4 linked regions of the Pelodiscus sinensis genome follow. The protein of the gene in region 2 purifies or fractionates together with the protein of the main gene of each other region. This does not show direct contact. Links are inferred from orthologs where the notes say so. Each region holds a gene or a part of one and is shown on either strand. Other genes may lie near its edges. The genes, in order: FXR1, G3BP1, TRIM25 and HDAC6.

What was found.
Region 1: the proteins of G3BP1 (region 2) and FXR1 purify together in Homo sapiens (affinity purification with mass spectrometry; 3 studies listed by BioGRID and IntAct, with this or other methods). This does not show direct contact. The link is inferred for Pelodiscus sinensis from reciprocal best matches to the Homo sapiens genes G3BP1 and FXR1.
Region 3: the proteins of G3BP1 (region 2) and TRIM25 purify together in Homo sapiens (affinity purification with mass spectrometry; 4 studies listed by BioGRID and IntAct, with this or other methods). This does not show direct contact. The link is inferred for Pelodiscus sinensis from reciprocal best matches to the Homo sapiens genes G3BP1 and TRIM25.
Region 4: the proteins of G3BP1 (region 2) and HDAC6 purify together in Homo sapiens (affinity purification with western blotting; 4 studies listed by BioGRID, with this or other methods). This does not show direct contact. The link is inferred for Pelodiscus sinensis from reciprocal best matches to the Homo sapiens genes G3BP1 and HDAC6.

Annotation. Positions count from the first base shown.
Region 1 is NC_134720.1:45,544,004-45,551,296, reverse strand, and holds the start of FXR1 (RNA-binding protein FXR1), read right to left. Parts: upstream 3,003-7,293; 5' UTR 2,562-3,002; coding exon 2,511-2,561; intron 1-2,510. UniProt on the Homo sapiens protein: mRNA-binding protein that acts as a regulator of mRNAs translation and/or stability, and which is required for various processes, such as neurogenesis, muscle development and spermatogenesis.
Region 2 is NC_134727.1:36,251,841-36,259,396, reverse strand, and holds the start of G3BP1 (ras GTPase-activating protein-binding protein 1), read right to left. Parts: upstream 3,014-7,556; 5' UTR 2,869-3,013; intron 1-2,868. UniProt on the Homo sapiens protein: Protein involved in various processes, such as stress granule formation and innate immunity. Plays an essential role in stress granule formation.
Region 3 is NC_134730.1:18,911,886-18,919,202, forward strand, and holds the start of TRIM25 (E3 ubiquitin/ISG15 ligase TRIM25), read right to left. Parts: upstream 3,013-7,317; 5' UTR 2,909-3,012; coding exon 2,306-2,908; intron 1-2,305.
Region 4 is NW_027466031.1:232,685-240,592, forward strand, and holds the start of HDAC6 (protein deacetylase HDAC6), read right to left. Parts: upstream 3,015-7,908; 5' UTR 2,861-3,014; intron 1,588-2,860; 5' UTR 1,483-1,587; coding exon 1,480-1,482; intron 1,358-1,479; coding exon 1,232-1,357; intron 1,108-1,231; coding exon 1,019-1,107; intron 466-1,018; coding exon 381-465; intron 266-380; coding exon 225-265; intron 104-224; coding exon 7-103; intron 1-6.

The sequences.
Region 1 (7,293 bases), on a different chromosome or scaffold from region 2:
AGAAGCCAAAGCTGCAAAAAATATCAAATCAAAGAACCAAAAATTAAAAAGAACCAAACCTACCATGGAGAAGGGAATTGGAGATGGTGACAGAGAAAGATGGTTTAAAAAAAATACCGGACACACTTGATCTCAGATTGGGAGGGGAGGGAAGAGGGACCGGCCAGGAGGGGAGCAGGACTGGCCGGCAGGGGGTTAGGGGGAGCGAGGCTGGCGGGGGGGGGGGGGGAGGAGAACTGGCCGGCGGGAAGCAGGGCTGGCCTAGAGAGGGTCAGGGGGAGCGGGGCTGGCTAGAGGAGATCCGAGGGCGGGAAGAGGGAAGGGAGCCAGCTGGCAAGAAGCAGGGCTGGCTGGGAGTGGGTCCAGGTGAGCGGGGCTGGCCGGGAGCGGGGGGTGGGGAGGTAGAAAACCAGCCAGCCTGGGTGCACCAGATCCCGGGGTGCTGCCCATCCTGTGCATGGTCCCAGAGGAGTGCACAGGTGAATCCGGCCCTGGGAAGTCCATCCCACCCCCACACCTCTCCTCTCTGTGTAGTTGCATACTGCCTGGCTGGTAGACACGCTCACGCAGCGTTAGTGTGTCTACCAGCCAAATAGTACACAACTACGTACTGATACTCATGATAACAATAAAAACTTAATTAGAAAATACTGGACATTTATGTGTTTCCCAGACAGAAAGCTCAAATACCGGACTGTCCAGATCAAAACTGTACACCTGGCAACCCTAGATAACAGCAAAAGTCTACATACTAAGAAAGCCAGAGAGTTGAATCTATGGAAAGCATTCATGAGACTCTTACCAGCTTTAATGTGTGTGTATGATAGTAGATGGTAAAAATATACATAAGTGCCCAAAACCATTTAAGTATTTTACTGAGATGACATACGCTTATCTTCAATACTCTCCATTTCCATGACCCCCTTCCCGCCTCCCAGAAGTATGGGCCACTAGGGCCATGGTGAGGATGTCTCAGCTCCAGCCAGAGCAAACAGGGGCAGCTGCCCACCACGCAGCCCAGCCAGCCAGGCCACATGGCATTCCACCATAGCTAGAACCAGGATACGTGAGGCAGGTTGCCAGAATCCACCAGGCCACCACCACCACTCACCTTCCAGGCTGCAGGTTCAGCAAGAAAGTGAGTAGAGAGTGCCGCTGCCTAGCTCTGCAAATGAGGTTGGTGGGCCTAAAATTGTTTGTGCTCAGCCAAATAGGCGCACAGCTTAAAGAGAACCCTGCCACAACTCTAGGGACCATTACTTTCATTAACCATCTTTGATAGTGCTAAACCTACCTCGGAGCCAATGGTACAGATCCAGTCCCAAGAATTCTCACTTTTCTCATCTTATGATGAGACATTTTAACGTGTATTCTGATTACTTTAAAAATCTTTACACAACTTCTAACATATACTGAATTGTCTAAGCCTAAAATTACTGTTAACCCAAACAAAAATTTCAACACTATTTATTAAGAGTAGGATTACAATTCTCCATAAATTCTTTCCATTAAAATACCTACTAATTTATCAACCAGCTATCTATTTAAAAAGACAGAAACTTAGGAAATCAGCTGGTTATGGTTCTTAACACACAAACTTGTTTTTACATACTATCCAATTACCAAATGCTATATAGCCTACATCCATAGACCCACCCACCAGGAAACTCATGAAAAGGACAAATAAATCACTGTCTTGCATAGCGGTGGACTACAAATCCATGATTAGATTAAAGTGATTAAGGGAAGTCGTGAAATTAAGTGACCAGGAAGCTGAGCATACAGTGAGTGTTCACAATGACAACTGCAATCAGCCCTCCTGTAAAGGAACACACAAGGCCTCTCTCTATAAAAAGAGTTGGGATTCTCAAACATCTCAGGCCTGGCTTAGGGAAAAAGACTGACAGGCAACAGCTGAGAGTATTTTGTATTGATCCTGTAATATCCTGGCATACCAGGGAGGGTGGTGGTGAAGGAAGCTTTCTGATGACATAAATAAACTCCAACTCCCTACACGTATTATCTGGGCTTTTTATTTTCAGAAGTTTAAACCACCCCAATGCTCCCACTAAAAGCCTCAGCCCTTCAGATAATCCAATTCCACACACACCCCCCCCAAAAGAGAAGAAACCTTCCTCTGTTCGCTCAGCTGATAACCTACCTCAGAGCCAATGAAACCAGGCTCTCCCTTCCACTCTACCAGGCACTAGCCCCGCACCGCATCTACACGCCCCCAAACTCCTCCTCAAACGCTTCCACACATAGAGGTCTTCTCCCACCCCAGCCCCCAAACATCCTTCCCCTGGCAGCTCCCCCCCAGCACCCCAACCCCTCACAACCCTCCCTGACCCGGGCACTCGCTCTCCAGCCTTGCCCTTCCGCCGAGCACCCCTGCCCCACGGGCCCGCTCCCCCTCTCCGCGCCCCGGCCCTAACGGTTCGTTTGGAGGGGGAGAGGGGGACCGGGGTGGGGACACGGAAACCGTGACCCGCCCCCGCCGCGGCCGATACCTTGTAGAAGGCCCCGTTGGAGCCGCGCACTTCCACCGTCAGCTCCTCCATGTTGAGACCGCAAAGGACGCCGGGACGGGCTTCTAGAAACTGTCACCACGGTGGGGGGGGCGCGCTCCGGGCTCCCTCTCGGAGTCCTCACCTGCAGCCGGGCGGCTCCGGCTCCCCCCGCGCGGGAGGGGGCGGGGTGTTCCCGCTCGGCTCCCCGCGGCGGCTAATCCCCTCGCGCGCCGGGCCGAGGGTCTGCCCCCTACCCCGAGCGCCCTCCCCTCGCCGGGGTCTCCTGCGGCCTTCCCCGCGCTGGGCGAGCGCGAGCCCCTCACGCGCGGGGAGGAACGACTGGCTCCGCTCCCCCGCGGCACAAGGCCGCCTCCTCAGACCCCCGCTCACCCTCACGCAGCGGGGCGCTGGCCAGCAGGGGGCTCGCTCCCTCCCCGAGCCCCGCCGCGCCAGGCCTGACTGACTACCCCAGGCCAGCCCGTTCTTCCTGAGGGCTCCAGGCGCGGCAGCGGGGTGGCCAGCCCCCGGGGGACGGGTCTCTGACTCCTCCGCACACGCGGGACCGCAAAGGCATTCCCTCCCCATTGCCACAGCCGGGGCGGGAGCTGGCTGATCCCACGGGCGCCTCGCTCCCGCCACCTGTTCGTAGCTGCCCAGGGTGGGGCTAAGTCCTGCAGGGCTGGGGCTGTGACCACCCCTGGCCTCGGGGAGGGGGCTCTTTACGATCAGACCTAAGGGACTTGTTTCCTGTCCCCTCCACACCCGGACGTGGCCTTCCGTAGGCACAGGAATGCAGGCTACTCCTTCCCTTATTCAACACCACCACCACCACCACCACCCCTTCCACACACTCCCACGACGTGGCATGGTTTTACTCACTGATTTCTCCTGGAGCAAACTGCTTGTTTCAGCCCTGCCTGAGAGTTGCATGTTGTGAAGGAGGGGGCATGGCACTAGAAGCAGAGTCGCAGGTTGCTATAAGGGAAGGAGCGGGATGCTAAATGATGGAAGGGAGATGCGGGGAGTGGAATCCAGTGTGTTTAAATAGGGTTACCATATTTGAACTTTCCAAAAAGAGGAGACTCCTGAGAGGGAGTGTATCTGTATTATTATCTACCAAGTCGTGTTGTGTTTGTGTATTATATACTAAGTGACGTTAGATACTGATACACTCCCTCTCAAGTGTGTCCTGTTTTTTGAAAGTTCAGATATGGCAACCCTAGTTTAAATCACACATGTAGTTTGGTAAGCTTTGTGCCTGTCATTTTGTTCATGTTGCATGTTATATTCCTTTCCTCCTCCACCCTTTGCCAGTCTTTGTCCTTCGGGGTTATATATGTGTCTGGTAGGGGCTGTGTCCTCTGTTTGGAAAGCACCTAACACATTGTGGACAGTGGCATAAAGAAGAATGTCTTGGAAAGGGAGGATCTCTAAACACAGAAGTGCTTCACTCCTGGAATAAAGGCTCATAATATATACAGAGACAGGAGTTCAGGACTTTCCCACACATACAAATGGGGCCCTTGCCTCTCCAAATTGTAGCAGACTTTTTCCCAAATAGGCTCATAAGGGGCTGAAGAGGTGGCTCTCTCAAAAAACTCTTAATCTGGGTAATGATGGGATACTACACTACAAAGTATGAATCAGGGCCTAAATGAGTACATCTCTCAACCTCTAAAATAAAACTAACTCATTGCAACTATAAAATGCCAAATGAATGGGAAAGTTCTGATCTTTTTTTTTTTAATGTGTAAACGTATCCTGAGAGATTAAAGTTTAGGATTTGAGAAACTGCCTATTAATTTCAAACAAGAAGTTCAACTCCTACTTAAACATATAAAATTACTTTTTCATAGCCTCCTATGGTTAAATGCTCATTAATATTAATCATGTTCTTTCATTCATATGTTAGGAAACTAATTGTAATATACATAACTCCCATAGACAGATTATTACAGTGTTTAACTACCCTGACAGGAAGGTTTTCCTAATGACTAATATAAATAGCTTTTGCTGAAATTTAAGCCCATTGCCTCTTTTCCAATTCTAAGAGGTTAAAGAGAACAATTATTCTCCCTCTTCCTTGTAAATCTTTATGTACTTAAAAACTATGATCATATCCCCTCTCAGTCTTCTTTCCTTGAGACTAAATAAACCCAATTTTTTCACTCTTTTCTCATAGATCATGTTTTCTAGATGGTTAATTATTTTTGTTGCTCTTCTCTGGACTTTCTCCAGTTTTTCTAGGTTTCTGAAAGGTGGCTCCCAGAGCTGAATACAATACTCCAGTTGAGGCCTAATCAGCACAGAGTAAAGTGGCTTATGTCTTGCTCACATCACTCATACATCCCAGAATGAAGGTGGAGGAGTTGTTAGTTTGTTTTTTGGGGAGATGTTGTATTTTTGCAACTGTGTCAGATTGTTGATTCATATTTAGCTCGTGGTCCACTCTGATCCACAGATCCCTTTCTCCTCGTAAACTTTTATATACCTGAAAACTGTGGTCATTCTCTTCTCGAGACTAAATAAACCCACTTTTTTCAATCTTCCCTTATAGGCCATGTACTTCTTTCTAGGCAGTCATTTCCTATGTTGTATGTGTACAACTGATTGTTCCTTCCTAAGTGGAGTACCTCCTCTCCACTGAGTAACAGGTGTGCGCTGTCCTTGGTCTTCCTTTTGCTTGTAATGTATTTGTAGAATGTTTTCTTGTTATCCTTAAAATGTTTTAACTATGATGTGAGCATATTTTTTTTATTGGGTTAGAAAAGTTTTTTGTTTTCCACTCAGATATTTCAATATTTTGTTTGGGTACCTGGTAGTACCAGGGAAACAGTGACCACCTGATTTGCATCTTCCTTAGTCCTTTTACATGTATAAATATTGGATAAATCTTTATAGGACAAATCTTGACATTGTTAAATGGTTTTGTGTCATAAAGAGAGAAAATAAGCGTTTAGTTATGCGCAGTGCTGAATGACCTCAATTACTTTTTCTTGCGGGCACACAGCATTTTGGAGAATCAAGCTATGGGAGGCCCAAAAGGAAAATTATGAGCAAACAGTTACACAATCGAAGAGCCAATGACAAAAAATTGCTTGAAATCGTTCTTTGGGAAGTCTATTAATATTTCTGAAGTTATTCATTCTTTCAGAATTAAATATTTAGAAAAAATTGAATTATTGGGTAAAATGAAACCTTAAATATTAGACATCATCCTCCACACAGTAAAAATGGCAAACAAATTTCCATTGTGTAGTAAGACAGGTGTGTAATAAGTATCAAATGAAGTTACTTTAAAACCTTAAGAAGCACCAGTATGACCATATTTGGAATAGTATGCACAGTTCTGGTCAAAAAAGATAACAAGAATTGGCCTGAGCCAATGTAATCTGCATGTGAATTTGACTGATTAAAATTGTTTTGCTGAAAATATACACTTGATGGTATTTAATAGGACAAGCTTGTTTTCAGATTAATACTGCAGTAGGTTGCTGCAGCTGGGTGGAAATGGGGCACAGGGCAGCTGTTTTCAGGAGGTTGGACAGCCACTTGGAACCAATCAGACTGAGGAAAATGACTGCATCAAATTCCGCTTTCATTTAGATTACTGTAAATCAGGAATAAGGTTGCCAACTCTGACTGAAGCTATTCTGGGAGATTTATTTTTCCCAACATGAAATAATGTCATTTTCTTAAAATGACCTATTCATATCTCCAGGATTGCTTTCAGATTGATGCTAGTTCCAGGAGAATCCAGGCCAATCCTGGACGGTTGGCAACCCGAATCACAAGTGACTCCTGAAGTCAATTTAGCTACTCCAGACTTGCATGGGCATAAAAGAGAACAGAAATTTAGCCCATTCATGAACCTTCTTTTCTATTCTGTGAAAACAGGCAGGCAGTTTGCAATAATTAGCACGAATAGTGCCCATCACGGGCTAAAGTTTTTAATGTACTGTATATAAAATAATTTAATTCAACAATAGTACTTAAGAGCCAGTGTTTTAAATATATTTAGACGCATAGAGAGATTTTCAAAATTTCCTAGGTGCCTAATTCCCATTAACTTCATTAAGTGCTTTGCTTAATCAGGGCCTAAGTAACTGCAGTGTGAGATTTATGTAAAATTTTACTAATAACTGGTAAAGTCTAGATAAATATGTTAAAATTTGAACGTTTATCAGAAACCAACTTGCTCTAGAAAATAGGATGAAAATCTTGAGGAAAAAAATTCTCATTAGCTTTTTAGTAAATTGTTGTTTTGCCTAGGTTGCAAGAACCATGAAGGTATTCTAATGCATCTGGTTCCAGCTAAAACTAAGAAAAGTAAGAGGCATCTGAAAATAGTAAGAGAGATATAGTTGGGAAAAGAAAGTAATTTAAAAATAGTAACAGTCTAATTTCAAAATATTTAAAGACTTGGTTTGGATTAGCATCCAGAAGTTCAGCTGTAAACCTTAATACAACAACTTTTATTTCCTGGTATATGCACACTCAGGAGTATAAGTTCCTGTTCTCTTATTCACTGTGGGCCAAATCTTGCAACCTCATGCAGTGCCCAATGGACTAGAAGGTAGGATAGCCATTGTGCTCCCTCTTTATTTGAGCAAATGGGTGGTAGTTGATCAGTGGAGTCATAGATTCACCAGAATCTGCCCTGTTCTCTCCCTACTTCATTTCACAATCTCCCCCTCCCACACACACACACACACATACTCTATTAAAAAGTAGGGAGACTTCATGGAGATGTTTGGATCTCCAGTTTGTTACCTCTTTTTCA
Region 2 (7,556 bases):
TTCTTCCACTATTTGATCTGAGGAAGTGGGTCTGGCCCACGAAAGCTCATCATCTAATAAACCATCTTGTTAGTCTTTAAAGTGCTACATTGTCCTGCATTTTGCTTCATACTAGATTTAGCAATTGTTCTTAAGGCATATTAATGTTAAAACACACTGAGAAAGGAACACAGATGCATGAATCTCTCACAATAGTATTACTGTTTCACACAACTCTTTACCTATCCAACTACTTAAACTTCCAGTTTAATGTGACATTCTACCCAGTTACACCTGAACAAGCAGCTGCAATTTAGACATTTTGTTGCAAGTCATGACTGGATTTAACTTCAAGTCAGCAGAGAAAGGTATAGTATCTTTCAAAAGACTTGAGGAGAGTGCCCATTCTACCACTATCAATAACACTGCTGAATACATCCGAGAATCTAAGTTAATTAGAAAAAATGCAATTTACTCTCAATTTTCCCTAAGATCGTATTTGAGAACTTGGCATGTTTTCTTAACCCCTTTTAAGTGAAGTGACTGATCTAGTGAATAGAAGATGCTGTTTTCAGAAGAACCTAAACCTCAGTAGCAAGAAACACTGTTGGCAAGAACTACATAATGGCTGAAGATCCATCACAAGTTATTTTATTTATACTAACTGGAAGTTAATGTTCAGGAGTTGGTAGCCTTTCTACATTTCCTAATGCTGTCATTTGTTTCAAAGGGTAGGCCTGACAAAAATAGCTGACTGGAAACATGGCTGTTTGCTGCCAACACTTTTCAGATCTAAATAGGAAGGTGCCACTTAACATGGAATACATTATATTCACAATGCTTAATGTAAGTGTCTCACCAATGGATAACCACCACAAAGCAATAATTCCAAATACAACCTTATACACTAACTCTATGCAAGACATTCAGATTCAGTAACAATGATACAGGTAGGGCTTTCCCAAGCAAGTAGGCCTGGGGCCTTCCTTCCAAGTTACTGGGAGCTCTTCTTACACTATCTTATTTGCAGTTCTAGGTTTAAAATCCCAGCTCCACCATTGTCTTGCTGTGTGACCTTGGATAAATCATTTAATACCACAGAGAGGACAATATTACCCCACTTGTAAAGCAGGGGTGAAACTTACCCTCCTTTGTACAATGCAGAGATTTACAGAGGACTACAAATGTCTCAAGGGGTGGGTATTTTTCTATGCCACATTAATCCATGAACAAGCTCTGCAGCGTAGCTACTACGTGTAGGCATTTTAGGTTTTTGTTTGATAGAACACACCAGCTATGTAAAGCACAGAACAAAGGTTGCCACTTTGTATCTAGCCTAACACAACCAAGTTTTCTTCCCTCCTGTTTGTGTCCCTCCTCTAACTCTTCCCCCCCCCCTTAAAATATTTGCTTTCAGAAGGATCCCTATTGTCCACAGCCCCAGCAACGTTTACTCTTTTCCACAGCGTCACTCCTTTCTGTGCGGCCAGAGGAATGTTCTTCTCACACCGATGGTGCCAAACACACTGGGGCTTTCAGAGCACAGGAACCGCTCCATGAAACGGCTTGTTTTTGTAGCCCAGACGGCTCGATGTTTCTCAACCCCCAGCACCACCCGAGAGAGCAGGCAGCCCCCCCCCCCCCCTTACTTCGGCCTGCATGCACGATGATCCTTGCAGGGAGGCTGCGGGAGGCCTGGGCTACCCCCCCCCCCATTCCAACCCTGTCCGCAGTTAATTACACCCCCAGGCCGCCACCCCCACCCCCATTCGCACCCTGTCCCCAGTGAATTACACCCCCAGACCACCACCCCCCATTCCAACCCTGTCCGCATTGAATTACACCCCCAGGCCGCCACCCCCACCCCCATTCGCACCCTGTCCCCAGTGAATTACACCCCCAGGCCGCCACCCCCCATTCCAACCCTGCCCGCAGTGAATTACACCCCCAGGCCGCCACCCCCCCCCCCATTCCAACCCTGCCCCCAGTGAATTACACCCCCAGGCCGCCACCCCCCATTCCAACCCTGCCCGCAGTGAATTACACCCCCAGGCCGCTACCCCCCCCATTCCAACCCTGCCCCCAGTGAATTACACCCCCAGGCCGCTACCCCCCCCCCATTCCAACCCTGCCCCCAGTGAATTACACCCCCAGGCCGCCACCCCCCATTCCAACCCTGCCCCCAGTGAATTACACCCCCAGGCCGCCACCCCCCATTCCAACCCTGCCCGCAGTGAATTACACCCCCAGGCCGCCACCCCACCCCATTCCAACCCTGCCCGCAGTGAATTACACCCCCAGGCCGCCACCCCCCCCATTCCAACCCTGCCCCCAGTGAATTACACCCCCAGGCCGCTACCCCCCCCATTCCAACCCTGCCCCCAGTGAATTACACCCCCAGGCCGCCACCCCCCCCATTCGCACCCTGCCCCCAGTGAATTACACCCCCAGGCCGCCACCCCCCCCATTCGCACCCTGTCCCCAGTGAATTACACCCCCAGATACCCCCGTCCCGAGTGCATTATTGCCCCATGTGCCCCCCCACTCTCACCCTGTGCCCATGAATTACAGCCCCGCTCCCAGCCCCCCCCGCAGTGAACCACACCCCCAGCCCCCCCCGGCCCGCCCCCACCATTCCCACACGCTGAATTACCGCCCCGGGCCACCCCCAGCCCTGCACGCAGCGCGGTGCCGGAGACCCCCCCCCCCACGAGGGGCGCCCCCCCCGCGCCCTGCCCCCAAGCGGGCCCGGCCGGGGGGGGGGTCCCAGCTTCCTTCCCCTCCCCCCGGCCCGCCGAGCGGCGCCGAGCCCGCGCGTGCCCGTGACGCCGGGGCAGGAGCCCCCCCCGCGGGGCGCGAGGAGGGGGCGCGGCAGGGCCCCCCCGTTACCTGCGGACGGAGCGGGACTGGAGCAGGAGGCTTCGCGACAGGCCGGCCGGGCAATGGCAAAACCTCACGCAACGGCGTGCTCACCCGCCGGCTGCATATATCCGGCGCGCAGCCTAACCCCGCCGCACCGCGCCAGCCAATCACCGAGCGCCGCACTTCGCAGCTCGGACGCCGTTTGGCCAGGGCCGCCAAAGCAGGGCGGTGCTTCGTGAGTGGCATCGAACGCACCCTATCGGCACTGCCGTGAGGCAGGACGCCGTTAGGTGAGCGACGTAAGAACCAGCCAACAGGCGTTGAAATGGCAGCCCCTAGGGCGGGATAAAGCTCGACTGACTCCCCCGGTGACCAATAAGGCGACGCAACTTTCGCTATGAGGTGAAAGTTGGACGAGGCGGAGGTAAGGTGCCCGCGTAGGGTGGTTACGCCGTAGAGCGGCGCCCTGGAGATCAGGCTAGGTAAACCCCGTTTTAGACAGGGCCGGCACTCGTTTCGGGTCTGGGCGCCGCAGCCAATTAGGAAGCCCGGCTGGCCCTGACTGACAGGCCGCACGCGACAGGCTCTTAAAGGGAAAGGCGGCACCGAGGCAGAGTCAGCCCGCCCCCGGCCGGCAGCCGGGCCCCGCCCCACGGGGGGAAGGGCCGCCCGCGCCTCCCCCCACCTGCTGCACCAGGCCACGTGCTGCTCCCCCCAGCTGCTCTGGCCCCGCCCCCTGGGTCACCGTGACCCCCCCCCCGCCTGCCTACCACCGCACGGCTCCAGAACCCCCCTCCCCGCCTCCCTACCGCCGCACGGCTCCAGAACCCCCTCCCCCCCGCCTCCCTACCACCGCACGGCTCCAGAACCCCCTCCCCCCCGCCTCCCTACCACCGCACGGCTCCAGAACCCCCTCCCCCCCGCCTCCCTACCGCCGCACGGCTCCAGAACCCCCCCCGCCTCCCTACCACCGCACGGCTCCAGAACCCCCTCCCCCCCGCCTCCCTACCGCCGCACGGCTCCAGAACCCCCCCCGCCTCCCTACCACCGCACGGCTCCAGAACCCCCTCCCCCCCGCCTCCCTACCACCGCACGGCTCCAGAACCCCCCCCGCCTCCCTACCACCGCACGGCTCCAGAACCCCCTCCCCCCCGCCTCCCTACCACCGCACGGCTCCAGAACCCCCCCCGCCTCCCTACCACCGCACGGCTCCAGAACCCCCCCCGCCTCCCTACCACCGCACGGCTCCAGAACCCCCTCCCCCCCGCCTCCCTACCACCGTACGGCTCCAGAACCCCCCCCGCCTCCCTACCACCGCACGGCTCCAGAACCCCCTCCCCCGCCTCCCTACCACCGCACGGCTCCAGAACCCCCCCCCCGCCTCCCTACCACCGCACGGCTCCAGAACCCCCTCCCCCCCGCCTCCCTACCACCGCACGGCTCCAGAACCCCCTCCCCCCGCCTCCCTACCACCGCACGGCTCCAGAACCCCCTCCCCCCGCCTCCCTACCACCGCACGGCTCCAGAACCCCCCCCCGCCTCCCTACCACCGCACGGCTCCAGAACCCCCCCCCCGCCTCCCTACCACCGCACGGCTCCAGAACCCCCTCCCCCGCCTCCCTACCACCGCACGGCTCCAGAACCCCCCCCGCCTCCCTACCACCGCACGGCTCCAGAACCCCCTCCCCCGCCTCCCTACCACCGCACGGCTCCAGAACCCCCCCCCCCGCCTCCCTACCACAGCACGGCTCCAGAACCCCCCCCTCCCCCGCCTCCCTACCACCGCACGGCTCCAGAACCCCCCCCCCCGCCTCCCTACCACCGCACGGCTCCAGAACCCCCCCGCCTCCCTACCACACACGGCTCCAGAACCCCCCCCCCGCCTCCCTACCACCGCACGGCTCCAGAACCCCCCCCCGTCTGCCTACCACCGCACGGCTCCAGAACCCCCCCCGCCTCCCTACCACCGCACGGCTCCAGAACCCCCCCCCCCGCCTCCCTACCACCGCACGGCTCCAGAACCCCCCCCGCTTCCCTACCACCGCACGGCTCCAGAACCCCCCCCCGCCTCCCTACCACCGCACAGCCCCGCCATCGCCAACCCCCCCACCAGGCTCCCTACCACCGTACAGCCCCGCCATCGCCAACCCCCCCACCAGGCTCCCTACCACCGTACAGCTCCAGAATGCCCCCCTCCCGGCCTCCCTACCACCATATGGCTGCCAACCCCGAACCCACCACTGCCGACCCTCCCCCCCGCCTCCCTACCACCATCCGGCCGCCTCCCCCAAACCCGCCACCACTGACCCCCCCGGCCTCCCTACCACTGTACGGCCGCCACTGCCAAACCCACCGCCGCCGACCCCTTTTCCCCAGCCTGCCTACCACCGTACGGCCACCACCGTACAGCCCCACCACAGACAGCCTCCTCACCACCATATGGCCCCGCCTCCACCAAACCTGCCACCATCCCCTAAACCCACCACAGCTGGTCCTAGCCTCCATACGGCCCTGCTACAGCCAGCTTCCCTCAGCCTCTGTACCACTGTACATCCCCACCATCCACTGAATCCACCACAGCCAGCCTCCCCCAGCCTCTGTAACACTGTACGGCCCCGCCACCTGCTGACCACACAGTTGGCCTCCCTCAGTCTCCGCACCACTGTACAGCTCCACCACCCTCCAAAGCTGCTACAGCCGGCCTCCCTGGGGCCCAGCCTCAATACCACCGTATGGCCCAGTCACCCACTGAACCTGCCACAGCTGGTCTCCCTAGGGCCTACCCTCTCCCAGCCTCCCTACCACTGTATGACCCTGACACCTGCCAAACCCACCACAGCCAGCCTTACCCAGCCTCCATACCACTGTTTGGCCCTTCCACCCACCAGACCATTCATAGCTGGCCTCTATACCACTGTATGGCCCCATCACCCACTGAACCCGCCAGAGCTAGCCTACCCGGGGCCCAGTCACCTGCCAAACCCAGCCTCCACAAGGCCCAGCCTCACCCCGCCTCCATATTACTGTACTGCCCCGTCACCCACTGAACCTGCCACAGCCAGTCTCTGTGGGGCCCAGCCTGACTCAGCACGACCCAATCACCCGCTGAATCCACGGTGTCCAGCCTTGGGACCTCTGCACAGCCGGCCTTCCATCAGTCACGTGCTGATCCCACCACTTGCAGCCTCCAGTTCTCTGCACAGCCTGCCTTCCACAGAGCCAAGGCCTCACCCAGCCTCTCTACCACAGTACGGCCTGGTCAGCTACTTCTGGCCCAGGGTGTCCATCTTCAATGCTGGGTCAAGGCCTCACCCAGCCTCCAAACCACAAGCTGGCTGGTCACCCATTCTGACACAGCCCATCCAGGCCATGGCTTTCCCAACCTTCAAAACCCAGCCCAGTCCAGCCACCCCTTCCTCCCTGGCACATCCGGACTCTGTAGCGCCATATGGCCCAGACAGGTATTGTCACCTGTCTTCACCTGGGCATTTGTGCGGCTCAGATCATCCTGGTCACTCTGTGCTTTCTCCCACCATCCCAGTCTTCCTGGAAGATTCCTCCACATTGTGCAAAGCACTAAACTGTCTCCATTCCCATTATTTCCTTGGGACTGCCACACTGGGTGGTGCAATATCAAAGTTCAGTAGCACCAAGAATGAACCTTCGGGGCGGACACTGCATCCTCTAAAAGGTTCTCTTTCCACCCAGGGCTCCCTGCGCATACAGCCCTACCAGCTTGATCGTCACAGATCCCGTAACCTCCTGGGAAAATGCTCAACCTTCTCTTAAGAGGTTTCAGCATAGGAATATGATCAAATCCATTCCCACTGGACACAAAACTCCATCCTGAGGCTTCCCAGCCAACATCCCAAGTAACAAGTCCACTTGGAAATCAGATCACCCACTACACTCAGACTGGTGAGCCCGCAGGAGCATCTAGATGAGAAAACAAATAACACAGTTCACCTGTCTGTGCAGCAGCAATTTCTTTTTCCTCTTTTGCAATTTCTTACTGAAACAGAGAAATCAAGCCAACTGAAACTTGCTCTGAAAGCTTTGATAAGGCAGAGGTTCAGGTTTTTGCATTGCCTCATCAGTGCTCTACCCTAAAAATACCACTCTCCAAGTGGAAAGAGATGCCCCGTTACTGATCCATCCCATAAAATCCATGTCACATTGCATGTCGTCACCTGAAAGGATAAAAGAGCCCCAGAAGGCACAGCAACTTTCGTACCACAGCCTTGCTTCCACAAAGTAAAAGCAGTCAGGGCTTGAAGTCAGTTTCCTAAGGCACATGTTTGGTTTTGCTGTGGAGGTGGTGGACACTTGCTTGGACCAAACTGTCTGCCAAAGGGCCAAAATTTCCCTTCACCTACATCCTGTGCAGCGCTAAATCAGTGATGTTGCTTGGGAGGGGGAGCAAGGGTAACACCTGACCCTATAGCCAGGACTTAATGCCTCTTGTTCCCCTAGCAGGCAGCCACTGTATGAATCTCCTTCCCTAGTTTCTTGCAGGGAGATTTACAGTCACTAGGCTGGCATTATGCCATCCTCAGCATTAATATTCCCCCCCCGCTTTTTTTTTTTTTTTTTTTTACTATTTATATCCTGAGCCACATTGCAAGCTGCCAGCTCATAGATCAGTAGCAAGGCCTTTGCAGAGTTTAGTACAAGCCAAGGGGCAGCCGTGTAAAATAACCCTGCCCCACAGCTGG
Region 3 (7,317 bases), on a different chromosome or scaffold from region 2:
CGTACACACCTGACTGGAACGGACGTGAACACCGCATCTCGAAGAACAGTCAGGAAAGGTGAGTCGCTGTGTTCCCCCCCCCCCCACAACCACTTCTCTTACTTAGTCACTCCTTGGCCTTTTCCCCAGACAATCCAACACAAGTCCTAACTCATGCTGGGTCCGGGAGTGCTGTTATAAGAAGGGCAACCTATGAATGAGATTGAGGCCACCCCAATCATTACTAGGGATGTGAATGGTTAACTGGTAAGCCTCACCCTTAATGAATCAGTGTTGGTTAATTGGTAGGGGCTGGAGCAGTTTGGGCAGGGAGCTGCTCCAACCACACGGGGCCCACCATAAAGAGGCACTGCTTGCTTCCTCCCGCTCCTCAAAAGCCCTTAATACAGCTCGCAAAGATCCAGCAGCTAAAATACGTTAACATAGCTCCCTACAAGCTTGGGATTAGACTGTCCCTCTTAGGCATCCTTAGCACTGAAGAATAACGGAGGCCTCCTATGCCAAGTTCGAAAGCAGTGCCACTTCCCCCATAACAGCTAAAGCCTGAATAATCCAAGCCTCATTTGCTACTAGGTTGATTCACACATATACAAAGCTCCCACTGTGCCCATGTGCTCCAGAGCCTGGCTTGTATCCTGATGGTCACAAGCTGTTCTCTTAGAAAAGGAACAGGAAGAGAGAGAGATTTTACAGGCATCTTACACATTACAAAGATAGCTTCCCCAATTATCACCTCTAATACTATTAACTCACAGACATTTCCCCTTCCCCACCTCTAATATCATTAACTCACTGGCATTCACCTTCCTTCCCCCCCCCCCCCCCCACATCCCCCTTCTGTTCTGCAATGTGATTTGTCCTTTTCATGTGTGTTCATTTTTTTTTAAATTGTATCCTTTGGTATATATGGTTGTGACTGTTTTCTTCCATTATTTGATCTGAGGAAGTGGGTCTGGCCCACGAAAGCTCATCATCTAATAAACCATCTTGTTAGTCTTTAAAGTGCTACATTGTCCTGCATTTTACAGGCAGTGCAACTTAAAAGCCAGACCTCTGAAGTTTTGTTAGACACTAAGGCTACGTCTAAACTACACCCCTCTGTCGGCAGAAGGATATAAATTAGACACATCGAAAGTGCAAATGAAGCGGGGATTTAAAAATCCCATGCTTCATGTGCATAATCGCATCCTGGCGCAGTTTTGAACAAGCGCCATTTCGAAACTGAAACCACGGTTTAGACATGGTGTTTTGGAAAAACTGCGTTTAAACCACGGTTTCCGTTTCGAAATGGCGCTTGTTCAAAACTGCGCCAGGACACGATTATGCAAATGAAGTGCGGGATATTTAAATCCCCACTTCATTTGTGCTTTCGAAACGTGTAATTTACATCCCTCTGCTGACAGAGGGGTGTAGTTTAGACACACCTTAAGTCTGTGTATGGTCCTGATGGTACTTTTAGGGCCTGCAATCCCTATCACCACAATCTGCTGTTCCTAAGGCCTGTCCAGGATCTTGAGAAGGATGAATGGTGCATCTTCTAAGACAGGGATTCTCAACCTTCTTTTTGACCCCTCCCCAACAAGCTATACAAATTCCACAGCCCACCTGCACCACCACAACTATTTTTCAATACATAAAAGCCAGGGCTGGCAATAGAGGATAACAAGCAGGACAAGTACAACACAGGGGGCACCCCGAAAGCTGAATAGCTCAGACTTCAACTTCAGCACCCAGTTGGTAGATCTTGGGGTCCCAGGCTTCTGCTCCACACAATGGGGCTTTAAACTTGCTGGGGTGCAGAGCAGAAAGTCTGATGCCTGCCCTGATTGGTGGCCCCCTGGAATCCTGCTCAGAGCATGCTCCCCCCCACCCTAGACCCCTGGCTGAAAAATGCTGATCTAAGACAGTGCTCTCAAGTGCCAGACCATGGACTGGGGCCAGTCCCTGAGCTCTCTGATTATCAAATAGGTTGAGAAAGAGGGCAGATGTTCCGTAGGTGGGAGCAGTCAGAGAACAGCAGCGCAAACACAGCCCAGGGGCAGAGTTCCCTGTAAGCTGGGTCACTCAGGAGAGATCCCAACACCTCCCAGCTGATCAGCAGAGCGCTCACTAGCGAGACTGCGTGTTTCTACTGGTGGTGCATGCACATGCCTGGGTGCGCATCAAAATTATTCCGCACGGGGATGGGAGAGATTAGAGGGAACATTGCTAGGAGTCCCATGCAAGAGGTTCCAGAGAAGGGTCCCGGCCAGTGCTGATCAGCACCTCTGTCCAGGCATCCCCCTCCTCTCCCATCCCTCCTCACCTCCTTCTCCGCCTTGGCCTCCTGCACGGGGCTGGTGGCACAGGTCTTGTGGCTGACCAGGCACACGCAGCAGATGCAGGTGGCGTGCTCGGGGCAGTAGAACTCCAGCAGCTTGTTGTGCTGCTGGCACTTGCGCTGCTGCAGGTCGCGCAGGGGCAGGCGCAGCTCGTGGTCCCGGAAAGCCGGGCTCTCCTGGTGGGGCCGCAGGTGCTCGTGGCAGAAGGAGGCCATGCAGGTGAGGCAGGTCTTGGCCGCCGCGGCCTCCAGGCAGGTGTCGCAGGGCACCTCGGAGCCGCTCCCCTCCCGGCATTTCTTCTCCTCGGCCGGCTCGCCGGGCTGCGAGCTCTGGAACTGCTCCACCACCCGGCACAGCACCGTGTTCTTCTGCAGCTCGGGCCGGCGCTGGAAGCTGGCCCGGCACTGCGGGCAGCTGAAGCCCTGCTGGATGCCGCTCCAGGTGACATCTAGGCAGGGCCCGCAGAAGTTGTGGCCGCAGGGCGTGGTGACCGGGCAGTCGAAGAGGCACAGGCAGATGGAGCAGGTCAGCTCCTCTTCCAGCCCGGCCAGGCAGGGCAAGGACGGCGCCCGCAGTAGCTCCGCCATGGCTCCTGCCACGACCTGGGCAGCTGGGGATGGAAAGTGAAACTCAAAGCAGAGGCGGAGCAGCTGGAAGTTCCTGGAAATCACGTGGAAGGGGGAAAGTTCAGCGCGGGGGGGCCTCCCTAGCAAACCCCTCCCTGCTAGGCGCTCAGGCTGCAAACTTTCTCCCATTTCTGCTTATTTACGCTCCCCCTTCCGCAGCCTGGATTTTCTGGTGCGCAGTTCTGCAATGTATTGACTTTCCTCTTTACATAGAATCACAGGGTTGGAAGAATAGTGATAGAGATGTAGCCGTGTTAGTCTGGGGTAGCGGAAGCAAAATGCAGGACAATGTAGCACTTTAAAGACTAACAAGATGGTTTATTAAATGATGAGCTTTTGTGGGCCAGACCCACTTCCTCAGATCAAATAGTGGAAGAAAATTGTCACAACCATATATACCAAAGGATACAATTAAAAAAAATGAACAAATATGAAAAGGACAAATCACATTGCAGAACAGGAGGGGAATACAGGGGGGGAGAAGGAAGGAAGGTAAAGTGTCTGTGAATTGATGATATTAGAGGTAGGGAGAGTGGGATGTTTGTGAGTTAATGGTATTAGAGGTGATAATTGGGGAAACTATCTTGGTAATGAGATAGTTCAAATGTTTGTTGGAAGAGACCTCAGATGGTCATGGAGTCCAATCAGCTGCTAAAAGCAGGACCAATCCCACCTAAACCATCCCAGAAGCTTCAGGGGGTAGCCCAGTTAGTACAGGATAAACTTAAAAAACAACAAATGGTCTGTAGGATTTTATAGACGAACAAAACATAAGATGGTATCATGAGCTTTCCTGGGCACAGCCCACTTCTTCAAATGACTGGAACTCCGGTCATCTGAAGAAGTGGGCTTTGCCCACAGAAACTCATGATACCATCTATACGTTTTGTTAGTCTATAAAATGCTACCAGACCATTTGTTAAATCATCCCAGCCAGGGCTTTGTCAAACTTGGATTTTAAAACCTCTAGGGATGGAGATTCCACTCTCTTCAATTCAACCCACCTCCTTTTAGGATGGCCAGGATGAAGAACAGCACAGCTCTGGAGTTAAAAGATTTGCAAAAGCCCATACAAAGTGGCAATATGTTTTTCTTTCCCCACTCCTTCATGCATCCCGCCGGGCCATAGATGCAGAAAAGCTGAGTGAGGAGTTTAAGAAGAAAGCAAATTACATGAGTGAAAGATATAAAAAAGCAACAGGAATTTACAATATAAAAATATTGCAACATGATTTTTTTGACATTTTATTGTGAAGTGCAGGTGATATGTTCCAGATGGGTAGTTGTGTTAGGCAGTAACTTTAAAAACAAGTAGTCCTCTGGCACTTTAGAGATTAACAAATATACATAGAATCATGAATTTTCATGGGTAAAAACACCTCATCAGATGAGTTGGCGTGGAAATAAAATAATCCAATATATATAACAGCAAAAGCAGTTACCTGTCAATTGTAGAACCTGTGTTAATGAAGCAAATTAAATAAGCTGGATTTGTCCCATTCGTAGCTTTTGTAGGGAAAATGTGTATGTCAAAAGCAGGGGAAATTGGCTTTGTAGTGCATTAACCAATATTTAATATATTTATTCAAGCCCAGGTTGACCTTGTGAAATTTGTAAATTAATGCCAGTTCAGCAGTCTCCCTCTGTAATTGTATAGTAAAATTCATTTGTAGAAGAATGGCTATTTTAAAATCCATGACTGGTTATATGTTGTGATTTTTTAAATCTAATGTATAGAATCCAAGAATACTAGAACTAGAAGGGACCTTGAGTGATCAAGTCCTGTCCCCTGCCCTCATGGCAGGACCAAGCACAGTCTATAATATCCATGATAGATGTCTGTCTAACCGGCTCTTAAATATATCCAGTGGTGGGGATTCCACAACCTCCTTAGGCAATTTATTCCAGTGTTTAGGAACTTCCTGTCAGGGTGGTTAATGTCCAACCTAAACCTTCCTTGTTGCAGTTTAAAGCCCATTGCTTCTTGTCCTATCATCAGAGGCCAAGGAGAACAATTTCCCCCCCTCCTCTCTGTGATACCCTTTTAGATATCTGAAAACAGCTATCATATCCCCTTAGTCTTCTCTTTTCGAAACTAAAGAAGCCCAATTCCTTCAGCCTTGCCTCACAGCTCATGTTTTCTAGACCTTTAATCATTTTTGTTGCTCTTCTCTGGACCTTCTCCAATTTCTCCACATCTTCCTTGAAATGTGGTGCCCAGAATTGGACACAATGCTCCAATTGAGGCCTAATCAGTGCAGAGTAGAAAGAAAAAATGACTTCACGTGTCTTGCTCACAAAATTCCTGTTAACGCATCCCAGAATCATGTTTGCTTTTATTGCAAGTGTCACACTGTTGACTCATATTTAGCTTGTGATCCACTATTACCCCTAGATGAGTGTTTCTCAACCAGTGGTACAGTACCCTTAGAGGTACTTGAGAGAAGTCTGGGGGGTACATCAACACGACTGAAATTTGGAGAAAACTAAATTATTGTTTTAAGTTTTACAGCGCTTTATTATTTTTGTAATTTTTACACCCAAAAATTTCATCGCCCGCCCAGCTACAATTAAGTTTTTTAAACAAATGTGTTGCAATGGTAGAAAAAATATGGTGTGTCTGAAAACTGTAGGTACTGGGGGTACTTATATTGTTTAAAGGCGTAATTTATAAAAAAAAAGGTTGAGAAACACTGCCCTAGATCTTTCAGCAGTACTCCTTCCTAGACAGTGGCTTTCCATTCTGTATGTGCGAACTGATTGTTCCTTCCTAAGTGGAGCACTTTGCATTTGTCTTTATTAAACGTCATCCTATTTACCTCAGACCATTTCTCCAGTTTGTCCAGATCATTTGATCCTCCAAGACAGTTGCAACCCCTCCCAGCTTGGTATCATCTGAAAACTTAATAACCGTACTCTCTATGCCACCATCTAAATTTCAGTCTTTATTCTTTCATTATGCTAACCTTTCCATAGGAGGAAAAAAATAAGTTTGATTAGTATAAATAGGCAATAATGAAGTTCACTTTAGCTTTTTTCTGATTGCAGTTGGATGCTGTCCTTTTTCTACACCTGTATAATAAAATAAAAATAGTAACAAAATAGTATTAATACTTTGCTTTGCACTTCTATTCAACTGTCTCCACACATTTTATAAATATTTCTTAAGACCTCAGAATACTGTTCTGAGTACACAATGGTCACCTTTGCAATGGGAAAAAACAGCTGCAACAGAGCAAAGGAATACTGCACAACAATTTAGGATTAGAATCACACAGTATTATAAACCCCAAAGCTTTCAAAAATCATAAGTCAGTTCATAGAAATCATGAGATTGACTTAGATCATAGGATTTTTAAAAATAACACATTTGATTACAGGAATTCCCTGGGTTACATACAAGATAGGGACTGTAGGTTTGTTCTTAAGTTGAATTTGTATGTAAGTCGGAACTGGCACATATTGTAGGGGAAACTCTAGCCAAACATTTCTCCAGAGCTCAGTTTTATTCTCCCACACCTCACTTCCCTCAGTCCTTTATTCTCAAGCTGAGGTGTCTGCTGAGAAAAGCCTCTCCACGTCTCCCTGGTCTGCTGGGGGGAAGCAGCTAGTGCAGGGTTGCCTCACCCCGTTTGTAAGTAGGGATCCGATGTAAGTCGGATCCATGTAACCCAGGAACTGCCTGTATTTTTATTGACTATTTGCATCTTTAGAGGGTCACATTTTCAAAAGTTTATTAATAATTACGAAGACTAAAAACCTGTTCTAAAATAAAAAAGCTGAGATTCTGGTGTGTTCAGAAAATGCCAGATATCATGAGACTTGTCATAAAATGTCAAGGGTTGCCAATACTGAAAGTATATAATCAAAAGTGTGCAAAGAGTTCAGATGGGCAGTGTTATTACCAAAGTTAGAATTTGGAAAAGAGTAATACTACTTACACTTGCAAAAGGTGACATGGAATCTTTAATAACCATACATTGTCTAGATCCCGTATTATAAATCGTTAGAAATCCCTCCCGCACCCCCCACACTATCCTCTAACACAGTGGTGGGCACCCTGGAGCCCACAGACTGCATATGATCCACTGAGGATCTACCTGTGGAGCACAGACCACCGATTTGTCCCCCTCACCCACATGCCGCTTGCACACTGAGGCACCAGAGAACCATACTTCCTACTCTTCCCCTCCCTCCCAGCACTTTTGGAGTGCACGAATCACCTGATTTGCACTCTTCCCCCCTTCCTTCCCCTCCCTCCCAGAGCTGGAATGCCATGAATCAGCTGTTTGTAACTGTTCAAGCTCTGAGAGGGGGAGGAGCATGGATGGAGTGTGAGCCAGGTGATTTGCACCCTCCAAAAATGCTGG
Region 4 (7,908 bases), on a different chromosome or scaffold from region 2:
GCTCACCGGGTGCAGGAAGACGGAGTCGAACGTCCCCGACAGGCCCCTCAGCTCCTCCTCACTCATCTGCTCCGTCGACTTCACCAGCTCCACGTACCCTGGGCTGAGACACAGAGAGAGAGCGAGCCCCTCGCCCCTGCCTCGCTGGTACCCTCCAGCCCTGCCGTTGCCCCCCTGCTGCCCCGCAGCCCCAGCTGGCCCGCCCCCCCGGCTGCCGTCCGTACCTGTGGACCAGCAGAATCTCTTCCTCTGTAGCCGGCCGGGCCTGTGAGGACAGAGGAGGGAAGTGGGGGGCTGCAGCAGAGCGGGGGGAGGGGCAGCTGGTCTTGGGACACCTCCGGGCAAGGGACAGACCCAGGGGTCCCAGCCCCTCCTCTCACCTCGACTGGGACGCAGCGTTCCCACAGGCCGCTCTGCAGCAGCTTCTCCTGCACGGCCACCAGCCGCTCCGGGCGCTCCGGGAAGCTGGGGGCGAAACGACAGAGCGGGAGAAAGTGGCCGGGGCTGGGGGGCTGGGGAGGGAGGGAGGGGCGCCGGGGGGCAGGGGCTGGGGAGGGAGGGAGGGGCGCCGGGGGGCAGGGGCTGGGGGGCGGGAGTGAGGGGTGGGCGCCGGGGGGCAGGGGCTGGGGGGCGGGAGTGAGGGGTGGGTGCCGGGGGGCAGGGGCTGGGGGGGGGGGCAGGGGCTGGGGAGGGAGGGAGGGAGGGGGCGCCAGGGGGCAGGGGCTGCGGCAGGAGTGAGGGGCGCTGGGGCTGGGGAGGGAGGGAGGGAGGGAGTGAGGGGCGCTGGGGCTGGGGCTGGGGAGGGAGGGAGGGAGTGAGGGGCGCCGGCAGGGCCGGGGGGGCAGGCGATGTGCCCCCCAGAGCGAGGATCCCGGCGCTGGACGGGAGGGGCCCGGGCCCAGATCCCAGATAAGCTAGGGGGCCGGTCGCTGGGGGGGAGGCGGCTCGGGGGCCGTGGTGACTGGCGGGAGGGGTCGCTGGGGTGGGGGTCGTGGCTCCCCCCCCCCCCCCCCCGTACCTGTCATCCCACAGGCAGTGAGACTCTGTGAGCCGCTCGTCAAAGGCCAGGCCCGTCCCCACGGGCACCGTCCCCTCCACGCCCAGGTCCTGGGGGGGACACGACAGTGGAGCCAGGCGCCGGCCCCCCCAGACCCGCTCCCCTTCCCCCCACGGCCAGGGAGCAGGCGCCGCCAGCGGAAAGCCCAGCCCCACGGCCCCCCCCCCCACCTACCAGGCGCCGCAGCCCCGACTCCAGCTCCTCCGTCTCTCTGCTCGCCCGCTGCGCTCGGCCGCGGCGCTTGGTTTCGGGCAGCCCGGGGCTCCGGCGTGGCTGGGGGCCCCTCCGGCCACCTCGCTTCTGGGGGGGAAGCACACGGGGCAGAAGGGGGGGCTTGGACCTCGCCAGCCCCCCCCAGCCCTTGGCAGGCCCAGGCAGCCTCGCGCCCAGAGCCAAGGGCCCCCCCCCAGGGCCAGACTCACCATGGCCGTGTGCTGGGGGGGCAGGTCCCTTCAGGATCGGGAGGGGGGAGCTGGGTCCTTCCTCTGCCAAAGCTTCTCCGCCCAGGGTGTCGCCATGGCGGGGCAGGGCTGGGGGCAAAGGCCGTTAGAGGGGCCAAACCCCGACCCCCCCGGCCTCCACCCTGGGCCGGCGGGGGCTGCGGGGCAGGAGCAAGGGGCACTGGGGAAGGCAATTTTAGGGGGGGCACGGGGTGCAGGGCTGGGAGGCGAAGGGGTGGCAGGGGGTGAGGGGCACAGAGCTGGGGGTGTACAGATGGGGGAAGGGGCGGGGCTGAGGGCAGCAGGGTAGGGGGGCGCTGGGGGCAGTGCTGGGGGGTGAAGGGCGCTGGGGGGCGGGGCAAAGGGGGCAGGGTGGGGGGCGCTGGGGGGACAGTGCTGGGGGGTGAAGGGCGCGGGGGGCGGGGCTGAGGGGGCAGGGTGGAGGTGCTGGGGGGTGGGGCATGGGGGCAGGGTGGGGGGCACTGGGGGGCAGTGCTGGGGGGGTGGGCAGTGCTGGAGGGTGAAGGGCACTGGGGGGCGGGGTGAGGGGGCAGGGTGGGGGGCGCTGGGGGGCAGTGCTGGGGGGTGGAGGGTGCTGGGGGGCAGTGCTGGGGGGTGAAGGGCGCTGGGGGGCGGGGCAAAGGGGGCAGGGTGGGGGGCGCTGGGGGGACAGTGCTGGGGGGTGAAGGGCGCTGGGGGCGGGGCTGAGGGGGCAGGGTGGAGGTGCTGGGGGGTGGGGCATGGGGGCAGGGTGGGGGGCACTGGGGGGCAGTGCTGGGGGGTGGGCAGTGCTGGAGGGTGAAGGGCACTGGGGGGCGGGGTGAGGGGGCAGGGTGGGGGGCAGTGCTGGGGGGCGGAGGGTGCTGGGGGGCAGTGCTGGGGGGTGAAGGGCGCTGGGGGCCGGGGCATGGGGGCAGGGTGGGGGGCGCTGGGGGGCAGTGCTGGGGGTGAAGGGCGCTGGGGGGCGGGGCCGAGGGGGCAGGGTGGGGGCGCTGGGGGGCAGTGCTGGGGGTGAAGGGCGCTGGGGGGCGGGGCCGAGGGGGCAGGGTGGAGGTGCTGGGGGGCGGGGCATGGGGGCAGGGTGGGCGGTGCTGGGGGGCGGGGCCGAGGGGGCAGGGTGGGGGGTGCTGGGGGGCGGGGCATGGGGGCAGGGTGGGGGGTGCTGGGGGGCAGTGCTGGGGGGCGGGGCCGAGGGTGCTGGGGGGCGGGGCAGGGGGGGCAGCGGGCGGGGCCGGAGCAGCAGGCTGTGGGCGGGGCTTGGGGGAGCAGGTCCCAGAGCGCTGCCCCCCCCCCCGGCCCGTGCCCGCGGCACCAGCTGCCCGCCCCGGGTGCCCAGCCACGTGCGCGAGCGGGCTGCTCTCACCTGCCGCGCCCCTGCAGATGGTCTCTCCCTGCCGCGCGCAGCCTGATGGTGTCACCCAGCCCCGTCCCGCCCCGCCCCGCCCCGCCGGGAGATTCCATTCGGAGTAGGGCGGGGGGGGGGAAGATGGCAGAGACCATTGACGGAGGAGGGGGCTGGTCATGACCATTCACCCTGACCTTGGGGGAGATCTGGGCGAAACCAATCACGATGAATGGAGGGGGTGGGGATCCTGGGAGTGGCCATTGGCACTGAGCGGGGGGGAGGGGAGCTGGGAGAGACCATTGACTTGCTGGAAGAAAAATCTCCCTGTTTCTTCACTGGCCTAGGTCGGGGGGGGGGGGATTTACTCCCTTGACCCTGTGACCCTTAATTCTCTTGACCCCTCCCCAGCTTGTTCCCGTGACCCTTCACCCCGGCCTCTATTTTTCCTTGGATTCCCCCCCCCAACCTCTCGGCTCCTTGGGCCTTGGCCCCTTGCCCCCCCCAGGGGAGCTGGGCCCCCTCGGCCTTCCCCTAGTGAAGGGAGCCGCAGGGAGGGCTCCCTAGGTGCTGAGATGCAGCCACCTCTGGGGCAGGGCAGCTGGGGAACAGCCGCATAGAACGTAGTGGGGGAGGGGTGAGGCAGGGAGGGCTTGGCACCAGCAGTGGGCGCTGGGCCTGCCCTGAAGTAGCCATGGGGCTGGGATAGCGAGCCCGACCCCCGCACCAGCGTGTGTCCCGGCTGGAGGGGCCCCCAGCTCTGCGCCGAGCCTGTGTAGCTCCCAGTACTGGGCCCATCTCCAGTGCCCGCCCCGCCCCTTCCCCACATCCCTTTGAAATCCAGTTCCCAGCTCCTCGGCGGAGGCAAGGGCTAACCCCCACCAGGCCATGAGCTGATGGGGCAGATAACGCCCCCTTCCCCTTTTGATCGCTGCGCAGGGGGGCGTGGGAAGCAGGGAGCAGAGCCAGAGATGGGCCGATACATGGATGGGACTCCTGGCGGGCTCCCAGCCCTCCCAGAGCCGGGGAGAGAACCCAGGAGCCCTGGCTCCCTGCCCCCCTTGCACTACATCCCACTCCCCACCATCATCCTGGTTTCTTTGGGGATACTTTAAGGGGGAGGGAATTAAACGTCCCATAAAAATGGATCCCTCCCATCTCCCTCCACTCCCCCAAGCCATGCCCCACTTTTCCCTTGCACCCCCCATCTCAGTTCTGGGGAGCTAGGACACCCCAATTTTTGCTTCCCCGCCACAGAAAGAGCAACCACCTAGATTTACCCCAAATCTCCAACATACAGAAACCCCCCAAAACTGCACAGAGCACCCCAATGTTTCTGAGGTTTCCATAGCTCCCTCTGGGTCATAAGCCCCCCAGTTCCCCTCGGCCCCTCCACAGTTCCCCCTGAATCTGTCCTTCCTGTTCTAGCTACAGAATTGGGGGGGCCCTAATGTCTGGTCTCCACAACCCGAGATGTCCCCCACTTTGAAGAGTGAAGGCTCCCCCTTTTCAGAGTGTGTGCTCACGGCTCTAGAGCACCCGCTTCATTTTGGGGTGCATTCAGAATAAGCCAGGGCACCCCCCACTAGAGCATGTACCCCAAGAACTGAACACCACTCCAGCCCCCTGGCAGCTGCCATGGTGCTCCAAACCAGCAGAGTTCTAGGCGCACAAGCCTGCCCCCCATGTGAGCCCCCCATAGCTCCCCCAGGCATTAAAAGACGCGACAGCCGAGCCAGTAAAAGAAATATATACTATATGTAAATTGTGGTTTCATAAAATCCATGGTAACCCCCAAAATATCGGGGTGCCGGGGGGAGAGCAGAACGGGAGACCTACTGCAGTCAGTGCTGGCTGTGGGGCTGACAGTGGAGACGAGGGAGCCGGGGGGGCGGTGCCCTCTCGAGGGGAAGTTGGGGGTTTCCTTGGCGGGGGGGGGGGGGAGGAAACAGAGGCCGCGCCCACCAAAGCTGCCAGGTGGAGGGAGGGAGAGGTGGGAGCTGAATGGGGGTGGACAGACGGGAGGGAACCCCGAGGCCCCAACGCTCTGCCCCCTCCCTCCCACTGCCTGACTCCGTGGCTGCCCCCCCTCCCGTGGCCCCGCTTTCCAGCGCTGCTTCCTTCAGCCCAGCGAGGGGCCCGGCCCGGGGGAGCCATGTGGGGGGTGGTAGGCGGGCGGGGGGGTCCCGAGGAGGTGGGGGGGAGGGGGAGAAGGGGAGCAGGTGGCTGGACAGGACCATGGGGCTCAGGGAGTAGAGGGTGGCGGGGTCCTCGCCCAGGGGGGAGAGCAGTTCGAGTGGGGCGGGGGGCCCAGCCCCCCCCTCGCCCGGAGCGGCCCCGCGGCGTTTCTTGCTCTTGGAGGAGACTTTGCGGTTGCGGGTCTGGATGCCGTCCTTCCGCATCGTCAGGGGGCGATTGACCTGGGGGGAGGGGCAGCGCTAGAACCCGGCCGTCCGGCCTCCCAGCCCCCCGCTCTAACCACTAGACCCTGCTCCCCTCCCCGAGCCGGGAGAGAACCCAGAGTCCTGGCTGCCAGCCCCCGCTCTATGCACTAGCCCCCGCTCCCTCCCAGGCGTCCGGGGTCCCTGCCCCCCCGCTCTATCCACTAGCCCCCGCTCCCTCCCAGGCATCCGGGGTCCCTGCCCCCCCGCTCTATCCACTAGCCCCCGCTCCCTCCCAGGCGTTCGGGGTCCCTGCCCCCCCCGCTCTATCCACTAGCCCCCGCTCCCTCCCAGGCGTCCGGGGTCCCTGCCCCCCCGCTCTATCCACTAGCCCCCGCTCCCTCCCAGGCGTCCGGGGTCCCTGCCCCCCCGCTCTATCCACTAGACCCTGCTCCCCTCCCCGAGCCGGGAGAGAACCCAGAGTCCTGGCTGCCAGCCCCTGCTCTATCCACTAGCCCCCGCTCCCTCCCAGGCGTCCGGGGTCCCTGCCCCCCCGCTCTATCCACTAGCCCCCGCTCCCTCCCAGGCATCCGGGGTCCCCCCCGCTGTACCCACTAGCCCCCCTCACCTTCCCGAGGTGGGAGAGAACCCAGAGTCCTGGCTGCCAGCCCCTGCTCTATCCACTAGCCCCCGCTCCCTCCCAGGCGTCCGGGGTCCCCGCCCCCCCGCTCTAACCACTAGACCCTGCTCCCCTCCCCGAGCCGGGAGAGAACCCAGAGTCCTGGCTGCCAGCCCCCGCTCTATCCACTAGCCCCCGCTCCCTCCCAGGCGTCCGGGGTCCCCGCCCCCCCGCTCTAACCACTAGACCCTGCTCCCCTCCCCGAGCCGGGAGAGAACCCAGAGTCCTGGCTGCCAGCCCCCGCTCTATCCACTAGCCCCCGCTCCCTCCCAGGCGTCCGGGGTCCCCGCCCCCCCGCTCTAACCACTAGACCCTGCTCCCCTCCCCGAGCCGGGAGAGAACCCAGAGTCCTGGCTGCCAGCCCCTGCTCTATCCACTAGCCCCCGCTCCCTCCCAGGCGTCCGGGGTCCCTGCCCCCCCGCTCTATCCACTAGCCCCCGCTCCCTCCCAGGCGTCCAGGGTCCCCCCCGCTGTACCCACTAGCCCCCGCTCCCTCCCAGGCGTCCGGGGTCCCCGCCCCGCTGTACCCACTAGCCCCCCTCACCTTCCCGAGGTGGGAGAGAACCCAGAGTCCTGGCTGCCAGCCCCCCGCTGTACCCACTAGCCCCCGCTCCCTCCCAGGCATCCGGGGTCCCCCCCCCCGCTGTACCCACTAGCCCCCGCTCCCTCCCAGGCGTCCGGGGTCCCCCCCCCGCTGTACCCACTAGCCCCCGCTCCCTCCCAGGCGTCCGGGGTCCCCCCCGCTGTACCCACTAGCCCCCACTCCCTCCCAGGCATCCGGGGTCCCCCCCGCTGTACCCACTAGCCCCCACTCCCTCCCAGGCGTCCGGGGTCCCCCCCCGCTGTACCCACTAGCCCCCGCTCCCTCCCAGGCGTCCGGGGTCCCCCCCCGCTGTACCCACTAGCCCCCGCTCCCTCCCAGGCATCCGGGGTCCCCCCCCGCTGTACCCACTAGCCCCCGCTCCCTCCCAGGCGTCTGGGGTCCCTGCCCCCCCGCTCTAACCACTAGCCCCCGCTCCCTCCCAGGCGTCCGGGGTCCCCCCCGCTGTACCCACTAGCCCCCGCTCCCTCCCAGGCGTCCGGGGTCCCCCCCCGCTGTACCCACTAGCCCCCGCTCCCTCCCAGGCGTCCGGGGTCCCCCCCCCGCTGTACCCACTAGCCCCCGCTCCCTCCCAGGCGTCCGGGGTCCCCCCCCGCTGTACCCACTAGCCCCCGCTCCCTCCCAGGCGTCCGGGGTCCCCCCCCGCTGTACCCACTAGCCCCCACTCCCTCCCAGGCGTCTGGGGTCCCTGCCCCCCCGCTCTACCCACTAGCCCCCGCTCCCTCCCAGGCGTCTGGGGTCCCTGCCCCCCCGCTCTACCCACTAGCCCCCGCTCCCTCCCAGGCGTCTGGGGTCCCTGCCCCCCCGCTCTAACCACTAGCCCCCACTCCCTCCCAGGCGTCTGGGGTCCCTGCCCCCCCGCTGTACCCACTAGCCCCCGCTCCCTCCCAGGCGTCTGGGGTCCCTGCCCCCCCGCTCTAACCACTAGCCCCCGCTCCCTCCCAGGCGTCCGGGGTCCCCCCCCGCTCTACCCACTAGCCCCCGCTCCCTCCCCGGCTCACGTTGTGCAGCTTGTAGTACAAGCCGCAGGCGTTGCAGACGGGTTCCCCGCTGGCGTTGCGGCGCCACAGGGTGGTGGTCGTGGTCTGGCAGTTGCTGCACTGGGTGCCTGCGCGCTTGCTGACGATCTGGGGGGACAGGGGAGCGTGGGTGGGGTGAGGGGAGCCAGGCCCTGCCCCCACGCTCCAGGGGCTGGGGAGGCCTCGCAGGAGCAGAGGGGCCTGGGGGCCAACAGGGCTGGAGCGGAAGGGGGGCCGGCGAGACCGCAGGCAGGTGGGGGGGGTCTCATGGGAGGGGCAGCAGGTCTAGGGGGTGGGGGCTCCCCACTTCTCAGGTGTTTCCTGGGCCGGAGGGGGGCGGGGGAGGGGGCGGGGGTCCCCACTCCCCAGGCGTTTCCTGGGCCGGAGGG